2 linked regions of the Nothobranchius furzeri genome follow. The protein of the gene in region 2 interacts with the protein of the main gene of each other region in a biochemical or structural test. Links are inferred from orthologs where the notes say so. Each region holds a gene or a part of one and is shown on either strand. Other genes may lie near its edges.

The links.
Region 1: the proteins of msh4 (region 2) and mlh3 form a complex in vitro, tested with the Homo sapiens proteins (2 studies listed by BioGRID). The link is inferred for Nothobranchius furzeri from reciprocal best matches to the Homo sapiens genes MSH4 and MLH3.

Annotation. Positions count from the first base shown.
Region 1 is NC_091758.1:32,493,733-32,498,110, reverse strand, and holds the start of mlh3 (DNA mismatch repair protein Mlh3), read right to left. Parts: upstream 2,946-4,378; 5' UTR 2,680-2,945; coding exon 303-2,679; intron 213-302; coding exon 111-212; intron 35-110; coding exon 1-34. Other genes in the region: acyp1 (acylphosphatase-1), read right to left, coding at 3,824-4,039, 4,376-4,378. UniProt on the Homo sapiens protein: Probably involved in the repair of mismatches in DNA.
Region 2 is NC_091758.1:32,021,735-32,024,893, reverse strand, and holds the end of msh4 (mutS protein homolog 4), read right to left. Parts: intron 2,978-3,159; coding exon 2,853-2,977; intron 2,305-2,852; coding exon 2,104-2,304; exon of another isoform or gene 2,083-2,103; intron 2,017-2,082; coding exon 1,898-2,016; intron 1,829-1,897; coding exon 1,700-1,828; intron 1,493-1,699; coding exon 1,318-1,492; intron 1,246-1,317; coding exon 1,157-1,245; intron 950-1,156; coding exon 776-949; 3' UTR 543-775; downstream 1-542. UniProt on the Homo sapiens protein: Involved in meiotic recombination. Required for reciprocal recombination and proper segregation of homologous chromosomes at meiosis.

The sequences.
Region 1 (4,378 bases), about 470 kb from region 2:
GAAGAAAGGGAGTTGGAGTGGTCACCAGCATCATCTGTGAAAACAAGAGCACACGTCTCATTTTGATGTGAAGCCCTAACAGTGAACAATCTGTTGTGACGATGAGGTACCTCTACTGTCAGTCCCTGCGCTAATCACTCTTTCTGGCCTGGATTTAGGCAGGAAAGGCAAAACTGAATCCACCTGAAATGGGTAACACCTGTACTCCACCCCTAGAAGAAAGTTCACACAAGTAATGACACTTTCTGCAAACAAACGGAGCAGTTTTAAGGATTTATATGCAAGTGCATTCGCCACCTCACCCATCTCAGAGATGACGCTGACCGCCATGTTGGTGACGTCAGATGTGCAGCGTACTTGAGTTTCCTGCACAGCCGGGTCTTCATATCTGCTGAGGCCGGTCATCCTGTTGACATAAACAATCTTTCCAATAGATGCGTCGTAGTGATGAAGCCAGTGATCTTCCTCCTTTTGGTTCATTTGAGGATTATTACAACTGTCCAACCCTGGGTCAACTTGATCTTCAGGGTCCTGGGAACACTGATTATCATGTCTCTGCTCAAGTTCATCATTATAAACGTGCCGGGAGACATTTTCTGTCTTTTGTTGCTTCAAATTGCAAAGTTTAGCCGTTAATGACATTTGACCTTTTCTCTGATCTTTGACGTCTGAGAGGGTCAGCGGTCTTTGGGAGCTGTTCGGTGTCCTCTCTTCCTCCCTTGTTCCCGTGGCTCGATTGTCCTCACAAACAGATATAGTCTCTGGATTGTTAGCGAAGCTGTTAATGGGAGGACGTTCACCATAATTCTGTAAACGAGGATGAAGTAACTTCAGTTCAGAATGTTTAACAAACGTTCGTCTGAACTTGTCGAGCGATCCAAGCTCCCGAGATGTTGACAGTTTCTGGCAAGAGAGGATTCTGGGAATCTTAAAGGGAACGTATAGTTTCTGAGAAGCTCCGTTGTTATCCGCTTCCAGAGTGTTTTTGCGTTTTGAGGTTCGTTCGTTGTAATTAGTTTGGAAGTGGTCCCGGATCTGCAGACTTTTGTGAATGTATGGATCAGACAAACCGATCTTCCTGTCACTTACAAAACTTTGTTCATGTCCATCTGGAGATTGCATCTTTTCCTTACTGCAGTCTAAATCAGACTGAACAGCACGTACGAAGCTGCGTCTTGAATTTGTCTCGCAGGTTGCGGTTTTATCAATCAACTGTGTCTCTTTTTCCTGCAAGAGCGCACATTCTTGACTATCTGGCGTTTGTGCAGTTCCAGAGCCTTCACCAGACTGACTGAAAGTTAGCTCCTCTTCATCGTGTGCATTTGGAGATGCAGACTTTAGATCACACTGCAGAGTCCTCTGAGATTCGTGAACAGATGTTCCTTCCTGCTCAAGTTGATCCGCCTCATCGGCTCTGCGCTCCATCAGACCAGACTCACGGCAAACACCGTCGTCTGTACTTTTGCGATGAACAGATACCGACGCCAGCTTCATTTCTATGCCACAGTCAGTGCTGGAAGTACCAGGAGCCGCTTGGCCAGCTTTGATACTTTGATTTTCCGTTTTGTCAGGAACACAGACTTCTGAAGACACACAGTCCAAGTCATCCTGAGAAGACACCAAGTTCTCCCGCTTCAGAAAAGCTTTGACTGCTTCTTCGACACAAAGCAAAACACCATCCCAGTCTTTGAACTCTATCAGAGTTTTGGCAGGCTCAAGACAAATGTCATAATCCGAGTAGGAACATTTGATATTAATGATGTATACTCCGTTTTGCTCATGGTTTCGTTTATGCTTTGGACTCCGAAGGACAGAAGTTCCATCAGGAGCTTCATTCTTCTGGTTTGAGCTGCTCAATCTGCGTAGGAGGAAGTTAAGCAGCTTGTGGATGTGGGTTTTCAACAGCAGCCTGTCATTCACGTACAAGTACTGTAAACTGTTATTGTAGTGGCCTTCTTTGCCAATATAACCACCCACTTCAAACTGCTTGTGTGTGTAGCTGACTTCTGCCAGTTTCTCTGCCCGTGCAAGGCTGTGTATCTGAACAAACCTGTGGTAGGTGTTTCTGGCTTTGGGAAGCTGCACCATCATGGTGCCCGTGCAGTCATTCTTCAGGGTAAAGGACACAGAAGGATGCATTAAAGAAATGGCTTCGACCCTGTGTCTGATCCGCTCACCCTCCAGGACACCATCAACCCTCTTCCTCCGGACTGGCATGTTGTAAAAGAAGTTACAAATGACAACAGTTGTCCCCGCGGATGGTCGAACAGTCTCAGCTTCAAAGACATCCAAGCCCTTGCCATCCTTGAATAGTTTGACGTGTGTTTTTACCGACAGCCTGGTCCTGGATGAGATTTCAACAAGTGTGGCTAAAGATACTAAACTTGCCAAGGCTTCTCCTCGGAAACCATACCATCTCAGGTTGTCCAGGTCTTCAACAGAGCTGCACTTGCTTGTGCAGTATCGATTCCCAATACACTCCAGGTCCTCGGCAGTTATCCCAGAGCCGTTGTCGATCACCTGAACTTTAAATGCTTCCATGTCCATCCGGACGCCCACACAGGTCGCACCGGCATCGATGCTGTTCAGGATGAGCTCCTCCACGCACTGCTGCAGCGACGGAATGGCGACACCGGAACGAAGTTTCTCTCTAAGCTCTTTGGGCAAACTCTTGATCATGCTGCCCTCGCTTGTTTTTACATTTGGTCACATTTTCTGTAGTAAATAGAAAACGCTTTTAAAAAGTCATCGTTGCTACCTGCGACATGCAAGATAACGTGTTCTGTCAAATGAAACGAAAGTCCGAATTAACCGAAACACGTTAAAATAGTTTGTTAGACAACATTAAATCAGCTGTTTACAGGAAACGAGTTGCAAAAAAGAAGTGACCGTTTTCACTTTTAGCTATTGGCAAAAGGTAACACTGCCCCGTGCTGGTGAGTAACAGATTAGCGCAATTCTTTTAATTGACCAATCACACAAGCGATCCAAACTCACGCAACCAAACCGTGCTCTGACGTAATGGTCTGCTGCGTTCAAGTGATATGGAAATCTCGGCACTTCTTGGTTTTGAACCTTGAGATGTCAGATTTTTGTATGTTGGATGGAATGTTTAAACACATATTTTTCTGAAAATAAAATAACCGTATGTTATAAGCGTTATCTAGTTTTAATTTAGTTAACAATACAAAATTCCTACTTGAAACTGAAGTAAGCCTGCTAATGCCATCAAGTTTGTTCAATTTAATACAAGCATCTACAACTTTTACCTTCTGGAAAACTGCATAGCTGTACAGATGAAGATCCTTCACGGGTTAGGAGACACATTACAAATGCTAAATATCTGTTTAAGTAAGTTGTTCCCACTGAATGCCTTGCTTTGCTTCAACCAAGTATGGAAACTCAACAGACCTTTTAAAAATACTTGTCACTGAAACATGCAATGGTGTCACTAATAATTAATTTCAACTGTATGACTGACAATAAGAAATGGCAACATCATATTGAGTCTGCATGAAAATTCAACAGCTAAATTGAAATAATTTATAAATGTTTTATGAAAACTTGAGCTATCTGCTATGAGATGAATATTTAGTAATTGCCCCCCCCCCCCCCCCCCCCCCCCACACACACACACACACACAGGGCAAATAAATCAAATTCAAACACTATGAAATGTTTTGGAGAACTTACATTTATTAGGACAATCATGAGTGTACACAGTGAACAAATCACTAATATTTTTTAATACAGATTGTTAAAACTAAATAAATAAAAATAAAAGCTTACATTTTAATATTACAAGTACAGACAATAGCTTAATTTATTTTACAACATTAAAGGATGAGTGTTCCAGCCTGTCAACTACTTTCTCATTCTTGAACTCGGCCTTGGTGATGTGTGATTTGGGGCTCCCAGTTGATGTTAGCCATTCTTGCATTTGTTTGACTTTACTGCGTTGTCCTTGTAGCTGACCCTGAACGGTTCCTGCTGGTGTGTTTTGGACCCAACCAACCAGGCCAATTTTCTTCCCCTCAGCCTGGAAAAAAATATTTATATAGGAAGATACAAAAGATGTAGGAAAGATGTGAGCAAAGCAATACAAAGAATCTGGCATATTTATAGAACTCGTGGCACTTTTGAATATTGAATAAATAAATTATACTACTGGCAAATTAAATGATAAAAGGAATCAAACAAATCTACAAAAATCTAAATTGTTTTTTATTCATTCAGGCATTAAATTATTTATCAATTTGTATTTGAGGCTCATAAAAAATAAGATCATTGTAAAAAAAATTATAATAAATAAAGGCAAATTAGTTTTATTTTAACACCCTATCAAAATAAAAGCGTTTTGCAATGTCAAACTCACTTG
Region 2 (3,159 bases):
AGCGCTAGTGCTAGTGTGGCTCAGCCCTCCTCGGTTGACATCTCTGACCCGGACTATCGCTCCATTCCTCCGCGGTGGGCCATTCCCAGGCCTCCGCGAGAGCCGCTGGCTCTCCTGGCAGGAATCCAACATTAGCATCAGCGGAAACAGCTGTCCGATAAATACCTGTGGCTCCTGTCGTCTGTTCCTCTAGCTGCAGGTGAAATGGCGTTGTTCTGCGGTGACTCTGGCAGACAGACTCCCGACTTCCCAGGGCAGCTCCAGCCTGGCTTTCTCTTCCGTCACACGCTCCGCTGTTTCTGGTTCGCGGGGGCGGGTCATAACTAGTCAGCTTAGGGAGCGCTCGTTTTGATAACCGCGGTACACCAGGCGTACCGGCCATGAGGTGTCAACCAAATGCTCTAAAAGAGGTGGCTGCTGTTTTTAAAAATTAGTCACAAAAATAAAATAATACAAATATTTACACATATTTTATTGTTAATACTTCAGCCAATCAATCACTGTAATTATGTCTGTGAAACTGTAAATTATTCTGGCATAGCTTTTATTTTTATATTCAATTTTTTATTTAAATTTTTACAAATCTGTTAAAACAAATCCTTACAGACATTGTGTTGTATCATACTGTCAAACAGAACAATTTAACAGAAAATATTATCGCTGGCCTTTAATGTTCAAATACACTCAAAATGCCCTGTAAAAATGGACGAACAATGTCGTTTTATTCCAGTTCATCTTCCATCGTGAGGAGAAAATCAATTATTCATCCTCTGAGTTAAAGTTCTCCGACGGCCTGCAGCTCGGCCTCATACTGCCTCTTCAGTCCCTTCAGATACATCCTCAAGCTTTCAGGGTCTAGTCTTGAGTTTCTGGCGGTCTGCAGGAGGCGAGTGGCCAGACGGTAAACCGCTCTCTGTCTCTGAGTTTCTGGATCAGTTTGATGTCTCGCCTGGAGCAATAGAACACACGCAGTTGTTAATTACTCACACAATTAATTTTCTTCATAGCAGCAATTAAACCATGTTTTGGGGTTTAGCGTTAGCTCCTTCTGTTGCATATTATGAGGAGGACTTGCTAAAAAAAAACATCAGAAAATGTCAAGAAAAGCAGAAAAGGCAGTTGGACAAAATGTCAAAATCTGATCTTTGAACCACACCAGAAGCTGCCGGCTGACTTGAGAGGCAATCGTCTTAGCTTCTTGGATCACATCTGAAGGCAGTGCAGTCATTTCTGCTGCTCTCAGACCTACAGGAGGAAACGGGAATCTCTGTTATCCTTTTGCATTTCAACAGGACAGCTCTTGGACTCTGACTGTACCATAATGCCTCTCTTCAGAGGAGCCACGGCTCAGCAGATATGTGTACACCACATGCTCTGCACCAGAGTCACCGCTGCGTGTGTGCTGGACCTCCATGTGCTGGTTCTCTACGTTAGGATAGAGAGACTCCAGCTGACACAGCTCAAGGAAGTGTGTGGCAAACAGCGTGAACGCCTGCAAGCAGCAAACGGGACACACCTTGAAGATTAGAATAGCAAACATGCAGGATTTCTCTGTTTGTTCTGCTTCTTTGTTGACCTAAGAAGTTGATCGCAGCAAAAGACAAAAGACTGAATTGACTTGTCGTAGGAATCTGAATGATCTGGTTTTAATTTCAGAGACAGAAGTAGCTGAGCTAAGCTGTGCTGGTGCATACTTCACCTTTAGGCGGAGGAGGAACTCACACACTGAGTGGCAGATGCCAATCCCTTCTTCAGCACTAGTGCCACGGCCCAACTCATCTATGATGATCAAGGACCGGTCGCTCCCGTTGTGGATTATGTAAGAGATCTTAAGCAAAACAATCATATTAATGACTGGTTGGACGTGAGCAGTCCTTGTGTGCACAAAGTGGCTCACCTCCTTCATTTCCAGCATGAAAGTGGAAGAGTTGGTCTCAAAATCATCGTCTACACCAATTCTGGTGAAAATCTGATCGGCAATGCGAAAGGAGGCATATTCAGCCGGGACGAAAGAGCCTGAAAAAATCATAACTACCCGTGGTTAAGACATAACGTTAAGTCACATCTATCGTTTCTAACAAGGTTTGAAGATCTACCGCTAACCGATCTGAGCCATGATCTGACACAGCGCCACCTGCTTCAGGTAGGTGGACTTGCCGCTCATGTTGGGTCCTGTTATGATGACAAAGTTGCTGCCCTCGGTGATGTAGGTGTTGTTTGACACCGGCTGCTGTCGAGCTAGCCGCTCCAGAATGGGGTGACGACTTTGCTTGATGGCCAGAGTGTCTGTAAACTCAGGACGAACTGTCAGACACACACACACACACACACACACACACACACACACACACACACACACACACACACACACACACACAGGTATTTGGTGAGCGACTAATTTAGGGAAAATCAATTTAAAAATATGTAAAAGTTGGTGTTTGTAGGTAAAATCTAAATTTAAAAGAGCAAAGTCACATGGTAATCAGCTTATCGCTGACTGCGTTCAAAACGAATCACAGTAAAGCGAACCAATCATTTCTGAGCGAGGTGTGTGCAGCAGCGGTTACAGGTGTTGGGTCAGCTGCCGAACTTGTCTCTGCAAATACAGAACATCAGCGTCCGCTTATGTAAGAAGGGTAATCTGAGTACATGCTGCCGGGGACAGAACGAGGCAGGCAGTCCGCGTGCGTCTATGAAGAGACGGTTTCAGACAGCTGAGGGCCAACACTCTCCACCCACATGCCTGATGGTGCAGGAAAAAAAGAACTGAGTCCTGCAGAGGTGCAAGCTCAGGAGAGACGTAACGGGTCATCCTGCATGATGGTGGCTGCTTTTTGTGGGGGAGTAGTTACCATAGTCTGAGATTGTGCACGCATTAGCCAGTGAGATCAACATGTCCAGCATGGATACGGCATCCGAGAGTTTGTAGAGGCAGTGGATGTGCTCATGGACGGTGCTAAGCAGCTGACATATCACCCTGGGGAAAAGAAAAAAACATTAAAATCATATGATGGCTTGCAAACATCGCCCTCTATTGGTGGGAAAGTAACTCCTATGAAGACTCAATGTTGGAATTGTACAAATACAGATTCTAAATACAACCAGTAAGACTGGATGCATTTAGATCATTAAAGTCTGTAAAATGTAGAATCACTATTT